3 linked regions of the Mus musculus genome follow. The protein of the gene in region 1 interacts with the protein of each later gene in a biochemical or structural test. Links are inferred from orthologs where the notes say so. Each region holds a gene or a part of one and is shown on either strand. Other genes may lie near its edges.

Evidence for each region. The genes of interacting proteins can lie anywhere in the genome.
Region 2: the proteins of Pml (region 1) and Klhl20 form a complex in vitro, tested with the Homo sapiens proteins (3 studies listed by BioGRID and IntAct, with this or other methods). The link is inferred for Mus musculus from reciprocal best matches to the Homo sapiens genes PML and KLHL20.
Region 3: of the proteins of Pml (region 1) and Senp1, one has a biochemical effect on the other in vitro, tested with the Homo sapiens proteins (2 studies listed by BioGRID). The link is inferred for Mus musculus from reciprocal best matches to the Homo sapiens genes PML and SENP1.

Annotation. Positions count from the first base shown.
Region 1 is NC_000075.6:58,246,215-58,252,961, forward strand, and holds the start of Pml (protein PML), read right to left. Parts: upstream 3,573-6,747; 5' UTR 3,477-3,572; coding exon 3,327-3,476; intron 1,225-3,326; coding exon 761-1,224; intron 1-760.
Region 2 is NC_000067.6:161,096,012-161,101,963, forward strand, and holds part of Klhl20 (kelch-like protein 20), read right to left. Parts: intron 5,624-5,952; coding exon 5,440-5,623; intron 3,275-5,439; coding exon 3,131-3,274; intron 2,386-3,130; coding exon 2,252-2,385; intron 1-2,251. UniProt on the Homo sapiens protein: Substrate-specific adapter of a BCR (BTB-CUL3-RBX1) E3 ubiquitin-protein ligase complex involved in interferon response and anterograde Golgi to endosome transport.
Region 3 is NC_000081.6:98,044,102-98,050,053, forward strand, and holds part of Senp1 (sentrin-specific protease 1), read right to left. Parts: intron 4,289-5,952; coding exon 4,085-4,288; intron 3,172-4,084; coding exon 3,092-3,171; intron 1,843-3,091; coding exon 1,758-1,842; intron 1,298-1,757; coding exon 1,202-1,297; intron 1-1,201. UniProt on the Homo sapiens protein: Protease that catalyzes two essential functions in the SUMO pathway.

The sequences.
Region 1 (6,747 bases):
AGTGCCCCAAAAGAGGAAGCGGTTTGGTTCCCATTGATTCCTCAAAAACTACTAGTTCCTATTCAAGCAATCTGCTTCTGAGTGGTCAAAAGTTCCTTTATCATACACTACCATATTGGCTAAAAGGGTGGATACAAGTCCTGATAAGGTTACCCGACCTGCATTTTATTCACAAAGAAACTTAAAAGAAGCATTCCAAATTAGCCATGGCAGCTGCCCTGAGAATGGAGGTAAAGTGTTGAAAACTAAGCAGGTAGGAATGGAATGGAGATGGCACTCTCTTTTCTTTAGTATAAATTTTGTTTGTGAGCCATATAAATATATTCCCTACATAAATAGAAAATATGTTGCTTAACAAAAATAATTATAAGTGACTTTCTTTGTTCTTTGCATATAGTCATTTTCAGATAGCACTCCCTGATGCCATAGTTTCAACTTTTCAAACACTATTTTCCTGCCCCAATAATAACATCCAGCCTTACTGAGATTCCCTGGGGCCTCCGAAGGAAATGTCCACTATTAAGACATCTAAAGTTCGGTGGTGACACATACTAAAACCTACTGTTTTCACATATCACTTGCAATGGCACTCTGAAATTTTTTCATCCTAAAGACAAACTAGGTATGGGTGCAAAGATGACTCTGAAGCTATATATAATATTTCAAAGGGTCATTAGAAACGACTATAAACCAGCGGAGCCCATTTTGAGTGACAATTCCCTGAAGCTTTCACCCCCTGACTCCAGGATGCTCCACTTACTCAGTCAGCGCAGGGTTGCGGTGGTTGGTATTGGAGCAGAAGATATTGGACTTGCGCGTACTGTCGAGGAAGCTGCTCACTGAATTGTCGCGGAGATCAGCCAGGGGCCGGGCCTCATGCTTGAGGTACCACTGGTGTGCTTCGAAGCACTTGCTGCAAATGAGCTGTTCACACTCGAAACACCAGAAGTCGGCCAAGCCTTTGCAGCGGGTGCACGCAGCCTGAGCATCCACGATCTGCCGGAACACCGCCAGGCGCCGCTGCAGGCTCTCGAAGAACACGTTATCCAGGGCCTCCCCATTAGCATCGGCCTGCCCAGGAGCCTTGCAGATGGGGCACTGCAGGCCAGGCGCCTCCAGGCATCCGGAGCACAGCGTGTGCAGGCAAGGCAGCAGTTTGGGGCACTTGGCTTGGGCCTGGCAGCTCGGGCAGCGCAGAAACTGAAATTCCTCCTGTATGGCTTGCTAGTGAACCAAGGAGAGAAGTGAGGCCTACAGAAAGCCCAGACGTCTTGTCCCCTCCACTGGCCGCCCATCCCTTCAGCTGGAGATTGGAGAGGGTAGGACCTCACATTCCATTCCTGGGAGTCATTGGATCATGTCCTGGCTTATCGGCACCCCAGTTCCTCATTTACTTCGAGCCTTGCAGCTCTCACTGCACAATTTACCGGGCACCCATCTGCTTATCATTAGACTCACTAGTAGGTCCTGAGATACAAGATAGGATAGATACATCTTTGCATTTAAGGGACTCAAGTTTGGAAAAGTATCAACTTCATATAAAGTGCTTAACACAATTGGCAGGATGACCCTCAAAAAGTTAGACTTAAACTACCGTATGACCAAGCTTCCACTTTCCATATATATACTCAAAAGAACTGGAAAAAATATCCAAGCATATAATTATATACTAATGTGCCTAGCAACACCCCCACAAAAGTCACAGTGACCCAAGTGTCCTTAGCACATGAACGCATGAACAAAATGTGTCTGCAAATGTAACAAAATAGTATTCACCCTGAAAGAGGAATGAAATCCTGATACATTCAACAACCTGGATGAACCTTGAAGACATGGTGAAATAATATGCCTGCCATAAAATTAGAAATATTGTGTAATTCCAGTCATGTCATATAAAATAATAATAGTTAGTTCATAGGTATAGAAGGTGGAGCTACTGTTCAAAGAGCTCAATACCATGGTGCCTGGCACATGAGAAATACCCATAAGTCTAATCCCAGCACTCAGGAGGCAGAGGCAGGCGATTTCGAGGCCAGCCTGGTTCACAAAGTGAGTTCCAGGACAGCCAGGGCTATACAGAGAAACCCTGTCTCGAAAAACCAAAAAAAAAAAAAAAAAGAGAGAGAGATTGAGAGAGAGAGAGAAGTACCCATAAATGTCAACTAGTATTTTTAATCCTTAGCTATATAATGCTAATAATAAAAAGTTAGGGCAATGTGACCTTATTTGTGTTTTTTGTGAAGGGAAAAATGAGTGAAGAATAATGGGATGGAGGTAGTTCCTTCCAGGGTGAGTATGGAAGGTTGAGGCAATACTCCCAGGAAGGCCATGAACTAGGCTTCCTTAGGAAAATGAGCTTGGTGGCGCATACATTAATCCCAGAGCTCAGAAGGCAGGCAGGTGGTTTCTATGAATTTGAGACCAGCCTGGCTTACAAAGCAAGCTCCAGCCCGGCCAAGGCTACAGAGTGAGACCCTGTGTTCCAAAAGATAAAATAAAATAAATCCCTAAACCTCATACACATAAAATAAATTGATGAAAATCAAAAGAGAAAGCAGCTGTGTGAATCCTGTTGGTCTTAGCAGGCACTTTGGTCTGAGCCAGGTTCTGTCTGTTTGTTTGTTTTGTTTTGAAACAGGTCTTGCTGTGATGCCCTCAGCGGTCTTGAACTCTCTTTGTGGCCTAGGCTGGCCTGGAACTTGTCATCCTCCCTCCAGCCCTACCATCCCAAGCACTATTGCTCCTGGGATGTGCAACCACAGCTGAAAAACGGGAAGTGTTGGTGTGGGGGTCAGGGAGGGCGACTATAGTTTTGCCAAGTCTGGGACATGCCTTTAGCTCCAGGCCAGAGCAAATAAGACTCCTGGCCAGGCCTTCCACAGGACTATAGTCTTTCATCTGAGGTAGGCGCTTCAGGCAAGGCTTCAGGGAGTAGGAGTTACAATCCAACTATCCCCAGTTACAATCCAACTCATCCCGGTTTTTTTTTTTTTTTTTTTAGACAGGGTTTCTCTGTGTAGCCCTGGCTGTCCTGGAACTCACTCTGTAGAGACCAGGCTGGCCTTGAACTCAGAAATCCACCTGCCTCTGCCTCCCAAGTGTTGGGATTAGAGGTGTGCCCCACACCGCCGGGCCCCTGTTCCTATTTTACTCTAGGCTATCAGTTCTACCTCTGCCCAGCCAGGAGGGTCAGGACCTTGGTGTCTCTTTAGGACACTAACCCATTAACTTACTTCTCTATAACGACCTTCTTCATCCTCAACTCCTCGACCAAAGTAAACGAATAAAAAAACCTAATAGCCCTACACCTTCTAACCCAGTAGTACCTCTGCAGGGCTTTGGCTGTGTTCATAGTCTTCGGAGGGTTCCTCTGGGGGAGGCATGGTGGGCGTGGGGGTCAGGGCAGAGTCCTGTTGTCGACAGGGAGATCCAGGGGGTGCAGGTACCTTCTGCACGGAAACTGGTTCAGTTTCCATTTCTTGATTAGGTCTGTGAAGGCGGGAAATGGGTCTCAGATCTGAGCCAGAAAACTGAGCGAGAGATTGCCCGAGGAGAGCCCGCCTCCCGAGAGGAAGTGAGACAGGGCTGGGCGGGTCTAGGGGCGGAGAGGCTGGTTCTATAATCTCCCTTCCAAAGTTAAGAGAAAGACTAGGGAGCTATGGAAGTAACTCTGGTAGAGTCAGAAAGGTTAACCAAACAAGCAAGTAAACAAGCCCGGCATGCGGGCATGGCTCATTAGCAGAACAAGGAAAGATCCGGCCACGTACGCAGCATGCACACCAGGAGAGAAACAGAGCTGACAGGCTTTTCCCTGTCTGTGAGCTATTGGACTCATTCCACAGCTATATGTCTTTCTAGTTAAAAGCCAGGTAGAGAAATAAACTCCTCTTTGAGAGAGCCTCCCAAGTGCACCCTAGTGGAGACTTCGACTCAGTACTGGGATGGGTTTGCCTGGAAAGGCATCCCTCAGCTGAGAATGGAGCATGAGATAGAAAATGACCAGGAATTCAGAGCTGCTCAGACATTTTAAAGAGAGACAAACACTTGGAAAGGAGTGGAGGTCTGAAACAGGAGAGCCAGTTTGGGAAGTAGTCAGGGCCATTTTCAGATTTAAGATGGGGCTCCTGCGAAGTGATACCAGAGAAGATGAGATGAATCATACGGTGAGAAATGGACCGATTCTACATATGATCTGAGAGTTGGTGAAGGGTTTCTTACAGCGTGTCAGCTGCGTCTCTTGAATGACCTTGAGGCAGGTGGCCTATGAGAAGTAACTGTGGGACACAGAGTTAGTTCTGAGTCAGTGGAAGGACCGTGGTGACAGAACAGCGTTGAATGGGTCTGATGACTGTGCATCGTACAGAGGTAGACAACAGGGAGGCAAGGGGAGAGCTGGCCAGCAGTGGTGAAGAAAACAAGAGATACAAAGTTAGCTTTTTGACCAAGAAAAAGCAATCCAGAAACTAGTGGGTGAGGAAAACACACACCTGCTGACACTCTCATTGGCCAGTGCCTTTGGCTTCTAACTTCAGTCTGTTCCCACCCACTTTTCTGGCCCCTATGTGCCTATTCTCTGTTCCTATGTGAAACTGATTAAAAGGGATGGTAACAGGTTCCTGCTTTTGTAAACTTAGAGTTGTGGTGAGATGGGTTCTAAAGGGAGACCCAACATCCTGGAGACTGTGGAGGCCATACATCTAAGCTGACCAGTATCCCTTGGCCTTTAAAATTAGCCCATCAAGGGCTGGAGAGATGGCTCAGCGGTTAAGAGCACTGACTGTTCTTCCTGAGGTCCTGAGTTCAATTCCCAGCAGCCACATGGTGGCTCACAAGCATCTGTAATAGAATCTGATTCCCTCTTCTGGTGTGTCTGAAAACAGCTACAGTGTACTCATATAAATATTTTGAGTAAATATTTTAAAAAATTAGGCCAAGATCAGTTATATTGTGTACAAATATTTGTGTTTTCTTTCCTCAATTTTTTAAATTATGTGATGTAACATCTATTAATAGAATGTCAATGGTTATCATATTGAAGTCTGAGATACTAATAGAATGTTTCTAGGGGGCTGGTGAGATGGCTCAGGGGTTAAGAGCACTGACTGCTCTTCCAGAGGTCCTGAGCTCAATTCCCAGCAACCACATGGTGGCTACAACCATCTGTAATGGGATCTGATGCCCTCTTCTGGTGTGTCTGAAGACATCGACAGTGTACTCACATACATGAAATAAATTAATTAATTCAAAAAAAAAAAAAAAAGAATGTCCCTCAAGGGACATTGTCATCTACTCTAAATTTTTTGTTTGTTCGTTTGTTTTTGTTTGTTTGTTTGGTTTGGTTTGTTTGTTTTTTGTTTTTTGTTTTTTTTTTGGTTTTTCAAGACAGGGTTTCCCTGTACAGCCCTGGCTGTCCTGGAACTCACTTTGTAGACCAGCCTGGTCTTAAACTCAGAAATCTGCCTGCCTCTGCCTCCGAGTGCTGGGATTAAAGGCGTGCACCGTCACGCCTGGCATCTACTCTAAATTTGCAATGCATTTGCAGTTGTATGAGGGATAGTTTTATCTGGTTAGGTGTAATTATAACATGGTTAAATATAATGTGTTTGTAATTGTATGTCAGATAGTTATATCATGTTTAGGTATTATTATGATTTGCTTAATGTTTTCACTTGGAAATTGATAAGAAGATATGATTGTGTGTCAAGTTGGCAAGGGGTGGACTTGTATGGCAATTCTGGGTTGTCAACTTGACTACATTTGAAATTAATTAAAACCTCACTCCCGGTACCAACTCATCTTAGGGTTTTTATTGCTGTGACAAAACACCGTGAGTAAAGAGCAAGTTGGGTAGGAAAGGCTTTATTTTGCTTACATTTCCATATGGTGGTCCATCAATGAGGGAAGCCAGGACTCAAATAGGGCAGGAACCTGGATGCAGGAGCTGCTGCAAAGGCCATGGAGGATGCTGCTTACTGGCTTGTTCAGCCTGCTTTCTTAATGAACCCAGGACCAGCAGCCCAGGGTTGGCCCCACCCACAATGGAATGGGCCCTGCAACGTCAATCATAAATTAGGAAAATGCTCTTCAGGCTTGCCTACAGCACAACCATTTTCTCAATTGGAGATCCCTCTTTTCAGATTATTCTAGCTTGTGTCAAGTTGACATAAAATTAGCCAGGCTAGCAGTCATAGGCAGGGGAACTTAGAAATGAGCTATGGCAAGGATCCAGGGAGGCAAGACTGGGAAAGATTCGTCTTTTCTTGCTTTGTAAAATGGCCTCCTGCCAGCCTCCCAGCATCCTACTGGGGTATATTTTCTACCTTCATTTGGGCTTTCTGAAGCCACGGAAAGACAAAGTTACCTCAAGTGCCTGGATCAAGGAGTCTCATGTAATGCTTTGCTGCTGCTGCTGCAGCCACCACCACCACCATCCACTGCCAGGATTCCTGGGGTGTCTGCATGTGAAATTTTTCTTTTATACCAAAGTTGGGGCCTTCTGACTTCAACTTGTCCACAGTGACTTGGATCTGCCATCATTAAGCAAATAAGAACAGGACTCTGTATGGCAGGCTCTGTTTTCTTGGCTGTGGGGAAACAAACAAACAAAAAATACCAGTTTGCTGACCACACCAGAAGAAATCCTACATCTGGATAAGCACACCCATAACTCATAAGTGTGTTGAGTTTGGAGGAATGGTTTGAGGCCAAAAACATTTCTCTGCTTCTGGAGAAAACGCTCCTGCAATG
Region 2 (5,952 bases), on another chromosome or scaffold:
GTGTTTCCCTGTACTGGGGCATATAAAGTTTGCTAGACCAAGGGGCCTTTCTTCCCAATGATGGCCGACTAGGCCATCTTCTGATACATATGTAGCTAGAGACATGAGCTCTGGGGGTACTGGTTAGTTCATATTGTTGTTCCACCTATAGGGTTGCAGACCCCTGCAGCTCTTGGGTACTTTCTCTAGCTCCTACATTGGGGGCCAGTTTCTTACAGTCATCTTCTAAGGAACTGGCATGTGTTAACTTCTAGTTGTGGCTACATAACTAGTTATATGCACTTTCCTTATCTTCTAGTAGGGTGGAACTTGATTATGACTTAAAAGAATGGTTTAGTATTAAAAATTCATTGTTATAGTTAGACAGGTTTTTTACTTTTATTTTTCTCATATAATTTATTTGATTATTTATTCATGTTTTGTTCTTTTTTTTAGATGGAGTCTTGCTCTGTGGTGCTAGCCTAGAACTCACTATGTAGCCCGGCCTCAAACTCATGATCGATCCTTCTGTCTTTGTCTCCCAAGTGCTGGGATTAGTGGCGTGCTCGCCCATGCTGTTTGCCTAGTGTCTTCTGAGCCACCGAAGATACATAACAATGAATCTCATGGTGTGCCACTGACAATATCCTTAGATAAAAATAGCTATTATGTCTAGACCAGTGATTCTCAACCTGTGGATCATGACTCCTTTGGGGGGGTGTGTGTCACACATCAGTTATTTGCATTGCGATTCATAACAGTTATGAAGTAGTAATTAATTTTATGGTTGGGGGGTCACCACAACATGAGGAATTGTATTAAAGGATTGCTGCATTAGGAAGTTTGAGAACCACTGGTCTAGATAGAAAAGGCAAAGAAGCTTGTAGCTCTAAGGTTTTACTTATTCTTATATTAAAAGAATTCTTTTTCTACTGAGGAGAGGTGGTGATTATGGGAGGTAGGGAACTCACTCTATTTAGAAAGTAGAGTTTTGCTTTGTTTTTTAAACTGTGGCCCTATTTGTTTGTTTACTTATTTACTTATCTATCTTCTTTGCCCTCATGTGTGTATATGCACGATGTGCATGCCTGGTGTCTTCAGCAGAACCCTGGGGCTGCAGGTGCAGATGGCTGTAAGGCACCTGGGGCTGCAGGTGCAGATGGCTGTAAGGCACCTATGGGTGCAGGTGCAGATGGCTGTAAGGCACCTGTGGGTGCAGGTGCAGATGGCTGTAAGGCACCTGTGGGTGCAGGTGCAGATGGCTGTAAGGCACCTGTGGGTGCAGGTGCAGATGGCTGTAAGGCACCTGTGGGTGCAGGTGCAGATGGCTGTAAGGCACCTGTGGGTGCCGGTGCAGATGGCTGTAAGGCACCTGTGGGTGCAGGAGCTGAGCAAGAAGCATTCTCAACCAAGCGCTCTTAACCACTAAGTCGTCTCTGCAGCCCCAGACTTTTAAAAATTCACTATAAGTTTCTGGAAGTTTATGAAGTATGTAGAGAAAGAAAACTTTGGGGAACATATTAGAAGTTATGAGTTACATTTTTCTAGAGAGAAAACTAAAACATATTCTTTAAAAAGATAAAAAATACATTTATGAGTATATGAGCAGCACAAATTAGATTTGGTGGGTGTATTGGCTAGTTTTGTGTCAACTTGACACAGCTGGAGTTATCACAGAAAAAGGAGCTTCAGTTGAGGAAATGCCTCCATGAGATCCAACTGTAAGGCATTTTCTCAATTAGTGATCAAGGGGGAAAGGCCCTTGTGGGTGGGACCATCTCTGGGCTGGTAGTCTTGGTTCTATAAGAGAGCAGGCTGAGCAAGCCAGGGGAAGCAAGCCAGTAAGGAACATCCCTCCATGGCCTCTGCATCAGCTCCTGCTTCCTGACCTGCTTGAGTTCCAGTCCTGACTTCTTTCAGTGATGAACAGCAATGTGGAAATGTAAGCTGAATAAACCCTTTCCTTCCCAACTTGCTTCTTGGTCATGATGTTTGTGCAGTAATAGAAACCCTGACTAAGACAGTGGGTTACTAAGAAGACAAATGAAGTTGAGACTGGATGGGGAGGTGGAGGGTGGATCTGAGAGGAGTGGAAGGATGAATACAATAAAATATATTCCATGAAATTCTTCAAGAATTAATAAAGACGTTATATTGAAAGTATATTGAAAGTAGAATAACCTGAGCATTTAATATTTAGTATAGAGCATTTAATATTTCCCCCAGGAAAATGTGTTGCATTTGGAACTCATACTGCTGTTGAGAGACTGACCTGTGTTAAGTGGAGATGTTCCATCTGAGCCACCAACAGCGTATAAGAACCCTCCCAACACGGCGACAGCCACCCCTAGCCTTCTAGTGCTCATTGAAGCCACCCGGGTCCACTTGTTCTCCTTTGGATCATACCTGCAGGGAGGGAAACATATTCCTACTGCCCAAGCAGTGTCTACACATCTGAAACCACAAGAGATAAAATGGACACACACATCTGCCATAGCTTAAGAAAAAGTACACACACACAAAGTCACACACATACAGTCATACACATCTACTATTCAGTTTTATTAAAAGCCACAAATTTGTCATTTGTGACAATAGGATGAATGTGGGGGGATATTTTGTTAAGTGAAATAAGTCAGACACATGAAGAAAAATACCATTTGATCTTGAAGATGGAATCTAAAATGAGTCTAATTTATAGAAGCAAACAGTAGAGGATTCCACTCTCAGTGGGCTGGGTGATTGGTTGGCAGGATCACAGAGATGCTGGTCAAAAATACTTTAAGGAAATCTAAAGTACATTGCGGTGAGTAGTTATTATGTCATGCATTTGAAAATTTGGTGAAAAGTGTTTTCACCAAAACTCTCTAAGTATTTAGGGTAATAATCAGCTAATTAGTTTGTCTTAGCCATTCTACATGGTTTAAATAGTTAAATACATCATGTTCACCACAAATGTATTTTTATCAATTAAAGAGTAGATGGGGGTGTGCTATAGACTAGTAGACGGAGAGAACCAATTCCACAAAGTCACCTTCTGACCCTCCCACTCCATTATAAGCTCTAGGCCATTTCGGGCTACATAAAACTGCAAAAAGAACTCTGAATGCCCATTAAAAGTTGAAAGTTACTTTGATTAAAAAGACATCACCTCTCAACTATATTGAGGCAAGAGACACCATCCTGTCCACCCACAGCATAGAGAAAACCTCCAAGGACTGCCACACCAACGCTTGTCCTGCAGGTGCTTGTAGGGGCCACATCGCTGCTCCATTGGTTAGTTTTGGGGTCATATCTGGAAAGAACACCAAGAGTATGTATTACATGGTGGAGCTTGACTGTGCTTATATTTCAAACATAAGCATATATTTCTATTTAAGGACTGTTTCTTTTTCTCAAACATAGGCTGATTAACAATCAAGGCATATGAATGGGGATTGAACTGAGGGACCATATGCTGGTAACTGTGCTGTTAGACCTACATCCCTGCCTAATTTACCTTTTACAATTTATTTTTAATGTTTATTTTGAATATATTTTCCTTTATAAAAATCAGAATGCTGCAGAATCCCACACCAGTTCCAGTTTCTTCCCATTTGGATTTGGCATACATCCCTTAAACCTTTGCAATAAAATGTTATTCACATTTGCATTTATTTAAATGCAAAAATGCTTTATTTACATAAATAATACTACACAGTATGCAGTTTTCTCCTTTGATGTATTTTTGAGATCTCATTTTGTTAATATCATTGTAGATTTTTTTCTTTGAACTATTTAGTTATATTGCAATGTACAATGTACAATGCACTGTTTGATCTTATTTTCTAATGATAGCATACACACACACACACACACACACACACACTTTGGTAATTAGAAACAGGAATTATAACACTGAGCACACAGCTCAACAGTAGAGTGCTTATCTGGCATGTGCAGGACCCCTTAACCACTGAAAAGCCACAAAGCAAAAGATAACCAAGTTGCCCCCTTTATAGCTATATTCATTTTTACTTTAAAATTTTTCATTACTTTTCTTTCCTCCTGGTTTTTTCCTGTTTTTCTAGATTTTTGTTGCTCTTTATAACTTCTTGACTTAAAAGCACATTTTTCTTTCTTTTTCCTCTTTGAGACAGGGTCTCTCTATGTAGTTTGGAATTGCCTCAAACTTGTGACCCTTGGCTCTCCTGCTTCAGCCTCCCACATGCTAGGATCACAGATATGTGCAGCACACCCACCTCTCTTACTTTCTCTTTTCTCTTTTTCAAATGCGTCTAACATATTGTTCGTTCACACGCTTGCCTCTATGTATCACCTTAGCTACAGTTTAGATATTTTGATATATATTGACCTAATTGTTTAGCTACAAACATTTAGTCATTGTGCTCTGATTTATTCAGCACACCGACTTACATCTAGGTACCATTCTCCCTGCTGTTCCTCCCTCCACAATCTATAGAGCCAACCCTTCTGTTTCGATTGTCTGGTTTTGTTTTTTACCTATGCCATATCTAGAACCAATGTCCAGAACTGGATATACAACTTTCTACAGATATGCTATGGAACTATGACAATTACTACAGATCAGCATGGCTTAATAAAAGAGATTGTGTGGCAACAAGAAACTTAAAAGAAAAAAAATTCTCTCACTGTAACTTCCAGTGTGCCAGGTACCTCAACAATTGTATAAAACAGTATGCACAAGCATCCTTAAAATACTCATGAAGGGGCTGGAGAGATGGCTCAATGGTTAAGAGCGCTGACTGCTCCTCCGAAGGTCCTGAGTTCAAATCCCAGCAACCACATAGTGGTTCACAACCATCTGTAATGGGATCTGACACCCTCTTCTGGTGCATTTGAAGACATCTACAGTGTACTTAGATACAATAATAAATAAATCTTTAGGCTGGAGTGAGCAACCTAGCAACCACATGATGGCTCACAACCATCTGTACAGCTAGAGTATACCCATAATACAGTAAATAAATAAATAAATTAATTAATTAATAAACAAACAAACAGGTAAATCTATCTTTAAAAAAAAAAACTTATGAAAGAGCAGAGGAACAAGTAACTCATCTGTGGTCAGAGAAGGTTTTACGCAGGAAGTAACATTTGAAATCTTGTAAGCCTTAAAGGGGCACAGATATTCCAGGGTGGGAAGAACAGCATGCATACATGCAGGGGCAGGAGGAGGAAAGAAGACAGTATGCCCAAGGAGCTGCAGGCAGTTTGCTATATCTGCATTAGCATGCTTAGAAAATGACTGTGTCCAGTGGGGAAGAGACCAGAAAAATTGGTAAAGATCAGATCATAAAGGTCTTCATGATAAGGAGGAGTCTAGACTATTAATTGGTGTCACAGATATACCACTAAATTAGTAAGTCACATGGTTTTCAATTAGTACCTCAAACAAAATCATAGGGACAAGAGGGATTTTTTTAACATTAACCTTACCTTTCAACACTATTGAGATATGAGGATCCATCATGGCCGCCTACTGCATATAACAGGTCATCAAGAACACTGACCCCGACTCCACATCGCCTTTTGCTCATTGAAGCTACCATTCGCCACTCATTGGTCTGGGGGTCATAGCGTTCAACACTGGAAATGGCATCTCCACTGCACCAACCACCAACTACAAAACAACAGAAATGGTTAAGAGAACGCCTATCCTCGGGCAGACTGTTAACCACTATGACTCCATGCTCTGACTAACCAAGACCATGCAGAAGCAGGTCAAGGACAAGTGACAGTCACCAAAAGTCAGCAACAGCCCCTGAGCTGTACCTAGATCTTGGATCCCAGTCTCCAGAACTATGAGAACATGCATTTCTTTTGTCTGAACTACCCAGTCTACGGTATTCTGTTATGGCACCCTGGGTAGGCTAATACAGTGGGTAAGATTTAGAATAACTGCCAAGCCAAGTTCCATCATCCTTTCCTAAATGACCACGGGGTGGGGGG
Region 3 (5,952 bases), on another chromosome or scaffold:
CTTCTACCAAGCTTGATGACATGCGTTTAGATCTTGGAATTCGTACAACTGTCTGACTCCCACATGCATGCTATTCCTATCCTGTACTACTTCATTCTCAGCATTGCTGACTGTGAAACCTAACTGTCAGCCACTCTGGAAAACAACGAGGACGCGCTATATCCTGTTAACATTAGAGTCAGCCAAACTCAAGGCCACATGCAAACCCAAAACCTTCCATTTCATCTGTGTACAAACTCGCTTTTGTCTTTAACCAACTGTAAAATTACATGTATACCAGAGGACTGTTTTAAAATAAGTTCTTTGCCTTATTATATGTTTCACTAATCTATTTAATATATGTATATATCTAGGGCAATGTAAAAACTTTTTGGATGAAGACGAATAGTAAGTTTTGTTCCTTCTTTCAGACTCATTCATTTTTATATGTACAAATGCCCCTTGCATGTGTGTCTGGGTTCCATGTGCATTCCATGGTACCTGTGGAAGCCACAAGAGGGCGGTGGATTTCCTGGAACTCTAGTTACCAAAGGCTGTATAGGCCATGTGGGCGCTAGGAATTGAACCCAGTCCTCTGGAAGAGCAGCAAGCATCTTAAACCACTGAGCATCTTTCAAGCCTCATCAAGAGGAAAACATTTACGAAGCCCTGGTTCAGACAAAATCTAGACAGGACGCTGATTCCAACAGAAGCAAAAGTAGAAAACATATCAGAATCAGCTGGGATTTGTAGTCTCAGTCCTCTTGGGTTCAGGATGCTGTCTAGGAAAATGACCTTCTACCTTTGAGGTAAAACTGACCAGTGGCACTGACAACGGGCCAGGGAAGGGGGTGTGTAACAAAGGACACAAAGAGATTTACTTGGGTCTATTCCAAAATATTCCAAAACCTGAATGCTAAATTGAGGGGAAGTGAAGAAGGCTTCTTCTGGTTTCAGTTTGTGTTTCCTATAAGGTTAGAGGTGGGGTGTGTGTGTGTGTGTGTGTGTGTGTGTGTGTGTGTGTGTGTCTCGGGCTGGGGGAGATGGACAGACAATAAAGACTTTTCTTCTTAACCCAAGACTCAGTCACTATTATATGTGACAATGGTAGCCTGGCGTGTAGACCAACATTTTCTCCTTTTGTGCAGTGATCTGAGACACAGCCTGAAGTATGTAAAGGTCAGGGCAGAGGCTCCACAGAACAGGCACAGGCCTGCCTCACCTGTGTGAAGTTGATTGGTCTGTCTTTGGTAATGCAGTCAGCATATTTGCAAGCAAACATTCCACAGTCACTCCCATTCATCTGCTGTGGGATTTCCTAAAACAACAACAACAACAAAATATTTTTGCAAACTTCTTTTATCAATTTTACACCATTTCCCTTGGGTCTCCTAAGGGGAAGGAGGTTTAAGGATGCAGCACTGTGGTTCCACCTTTGTGTGTTAGCTTCACACTGGTCACACAGGAGCCTCTCTCAGGCTTTCATGGCACCCAAGGGTGTACAAACTGGTCCTCCTTCTAAGCACCAAACAGTCAACAAGTATTTCTCAACGGAGTAAAAATCTCAGCAAACAGCTCAGCATTTAGAAAACAGTTTTGCACAAGAAACACATCATGAGCTTCCCCACAAATAATTCATCTCCCTTGAGAAACCAGAGAAAGCTGAAGTCAGGCTAGACTTGAATTAGACAGTCCATAGGAGTCAGACAGCAACCAGAACCCTCTTCCCCCAAACACCCCAGCTCTAAAGATTGCTATGATATCAACATGAAACGTACCTGGCTCTTCTTGCTGAAGAGCTGCCAGCCGTTGGTGTCAAACTCTTTCCTTTTCTTGTCAACACTTTCTTGTTTTAGGTATTGCCTAAAGACATCAGAAGAGACCGAGATGAGCTGTGTGCAGCTTGATGGCAGCTGCCACCCACAGAATGGGGCTGGCGACCCTCAGAAGACAACCCTCACAGGTCCCACAAGCAGCCCATTCTGCCACCTGCCAGGAGGGACAGGACCGCTGCTTCTGAGATTCCTGATAGGTAATATTCTTTCTAAATTCTTCAGTCTACTCATCTTTCTAAGAAATATTTTTATATTTATTTTTTCTTGGTTTGTATGGTCCTTTTACAATTATCAACCTAATGCATAACTTATTATTAAATTAATATATATATATATATATATATATATAAATATAAAATTTAAAATGTCTCAAGCAGTATCAGGGTATGTATTTTAAAATTTAACAAGTACAAATTCACACCAGGCAGTGGTGGCACAAGCCTTAAATCCCAGTCCTTGGGAGGGAGGAAGATCTCTGAGTTTGAGGCTGGCTTAGTCTATTACACAGAACAAGTTCCAGGACAGCCAGAGCTACAAAGAGAAAACCTGTCTCAAAAACACAAACAAAACAGTACAAATTCAGAGGACTCTTCCCCAATTTTCATGTGTATATGTTGTGGTGTGCAGTGTGTGGTATGTGCATGTGTTGACGCACACGTGAGCATGAGTGTGTGCATGGTGCACATTGATACTACTAGTCTTGCTAGTCAGTTTGTCTCTGCTTTCCAAGGCTGGAGTTGAGTGGGAACCATGCACACATAGAGCATTTATGTGAGCCCTGGTGATCCTAACTATGGTTCCTATGCTTGTGCAGCAAGCCCGTTAGCCTCTGAGCCTCTCCCTAGCCAAGAGCACTCTTTTGAAGAAGGAAATGCGCACTGTTCAGGAACTTATCCCCCTTGCCATGTATCAGTTGCAGAGCAAGGCACTGGTGTTTACAAAGAGAAGCAAATGGGTGTAAGAGATTCCCATTCTAATTTCCAAGGGAACCACTAAGTAGTAAGACCAAAGCAAAGTCATCTCTGTGGGACTTTTTCGTTTAAAATTTCAGAAAGCTGAATTAAATATGAGTTCTGCTGACTGTATTTCTATGTATATGGTTACTCTATATTTCAGTGTGCCAAGACAGCAACTGCCCTCATTAATACATATTGTATTTAAAATATGCATTTATACTGATGTGACAATGCCACTAATCCCATCTCCGAAGGTCTCACTCAGATTGCTGGAAAGACAGAAAGCAACAAACATTTCTTTTGTCCTCAATTTGCACTTACAAGAGGATCCTGCAGGCCTCGTTGTTTATTCCACCCATAGAATCATAGTAGGTGATACTCTTCCTTCTAAAGTCTACAACCTGGAACAAGACAAAACAGTCAGGACACACGCATCATCAGCTGGCCTCCCTTGGCCTTGACCTTTCCCCAGACTGTCTGTGAGACTGTGAGCAGTATGGTGAATGTGCTGTATTCTAGCATGGGAAGAGCAAGGGGACTGTTTACCTAGGGTGGTGCTGGGGTGATCCACCAGTGGCCTATTAACTGTCTTAAAATCTTTTTTTGCATGCCACTTTCTCCATGATCAACAATGCATGATTCACAGAAAATTAACTATCATAAGATCATTCCCACAGTATAAGAAAGATGGTGACAAGATTCTGCGTTTGTTTTTATCTTATTTCCTTTTTTTGGATCGATATTTATTTATTTATTTATTTATTTATTTATTTATTTATAATATGTAAGTGCACACTGTAGCTGTTTTCCGACTCTCCAGAAGAGGGAGTCAGATTTTGTTATGGACGGTTGTGAGTCACCAGGTGGTTGCTGGGATTTGAATTCAGGACCTTCGGAAGAGCAGTCCGTGCTCTTAACCTTTGAGCCATCTCTCCAGCCCCAGATTGATATCTTTGAAATGTAATTCAAAACAGAATATACAATAACTCTTATTAACATTAAGCTGATGTCTTCATGCTTCCAGAGCACAGAAATGCTAAACCCCCACATGCACAAGGCAAGTCAGAGCTAGGTAGGAAGCTGGGGCTGGTGGCACCACAAACATGCTTGTTCCTTGCCTCACCTGAGGCGGCGGCGGGATGACCTGTAACTTCCGAACCTAAGCATCCCCTACTCTAAAGCCGAGGCATCACTATGAAATTCCACCTCTCCTCCATAGCAAAGCAGAGACACAGATCATATGGCCCACTGGGCTGGCTATGCTGCCTACGTAGATCTCTTTCTCATGCCATCAAAAATAAAGGAGTTACTCACAGCTAGACACCAGTGCACACCCAAGTGAATGGGCACCAGAAGAATATCAACGGAGAATACATCCACCTTCTTTGTCCAGCGTTTCACTGCCTGATAACCAGCTGTTTTTAGCTTAGTGAAGAAGAAGGTATTAAACGCATGTACACTTGGAAACCCCTTCTCTTTACTGCGTTCCATTAGCATGTTCATGTAGAAATTGATGATCTGCAGGAAGACATTACACATTAGAACAGTCCAAACACTAGCACAATCAGAATGTCATTAACATATGCGTATGTATTATGCTATGGATGGCAGCCAACTCAACGAATGCTTCAACAGATAATTTTTAAATATCCAGTTTTCCTTAATATAAAGACTTTATTAATCATACTTCTTAAGTATCACACAACTAAGTTAACTGCTGGAAACCAGAGCAGATAGGCAGCTGCTAGCCAGACTAGCAGAAAACTGGAGGGGAGGAGGAAGATGAGAACCGGAGAGAGGAGACAGGAGTGCAGTGGGAGCTGTCTGAGTGTCTGTGCTGAGCAAGTGGATCCTGGGCTCTGGTCTTATTCTCCCTCTGCCCTTTTCTCCTTCCTCTCCCTCCCTGACATTTTCCCTCTCCTTCCTCTTCTCACTGCTTGGGTTGAGACAGGGTCTCACTCTGTAGCAGACTGTCCTAAACTCACTATAAAGCCCAAGCTAGCCTTGAACCTGTGGTACATGTCCTGTCTGAGACCTGAGTGCTGGAATTAAAGACTTCAACTATTACAGTTGCACACAGAGAAAACCCAGCTCCGCATCTGAGGCCTTCTCAGCCATGTGCAGCAGCAAACTGCTTCGGTTTCGCGCAAATCTAAGACCAGAAACCCCTGAGACAAGCTAGGAAATGCCTGCAATAGCACAGCACCCTCCCCTGGGAACCCAGGCGTCAGGTCCTAGCATGACGAAGCGAGGTGGTTAGCTTTCTCATCACTGCATCACTTCTTCAGTATCAAGTGTGCGCATGATGAATTAAAATATTTGATAGAAGAGATGTGCGATTCTTAGTCAACAAAGCAATGTCTTTTAGAACAGTAACTATGCTGTCTGTGGTTCCTTTAGGTCCAGAGTCCTGGTCCTAACGCTTAAAAGTTATTAGGCCAAAAATTACAGCATACTTACTTTATGTGGATAGCTAAGGCCAAGCCAGTGTCTGTCAACTGAAAGGAATGAATGGGCTAACTGAGCCACAGCTTGGAAATATGACTATGAAAACAGGGACATTTTTCAGAATGTTTTTTGAGGAATGGGAAAAAGCCCCCGTCTTTTGACAAATATTTACACACCAGGATGCCAGAGCAGTGAGCCACTGTCCACAGGGAATCCTGCCAGGAATACACCCAACCCTGGTCTAGACCAGAGAAAGGGCCCATAGATACAGACGCACAGGCAGCTTCAGGGAAACCAAACCAAGAGCTCTAAGGTGATGGGCCAGGCCTGAAGACCGTTCTGCTGCAGCTCTGATCTCTGTGCAATATTCCCTGAAGCTTTAAATAACGAAAAGGAATCAAGGTGCAACCAGATGGTATGTTTTCAAATCTAAGTGTTCAGTTTAACTGCCAAACAATAATGTCCCTAAATGATGTATCTCCATTTGTGAAAACAGTTATGAATGCAGGCATATCTGCCTAGGCAAACAAAGATTTATATATAGTAAACTATAATCTCTATTGAGAGAAAATTAACCAAAAAGGAATGGGTAAGTTTCCTCTCAGAGAAGTGGATAGGATCTACTTAGTCTACTATGTTATCCATGTTATATTTATATATATTATAAATATATATTATAGTTATATATTCAGGGTACCAAAAGCTATAGTATATAGGCAGGTAACTAAACAGTC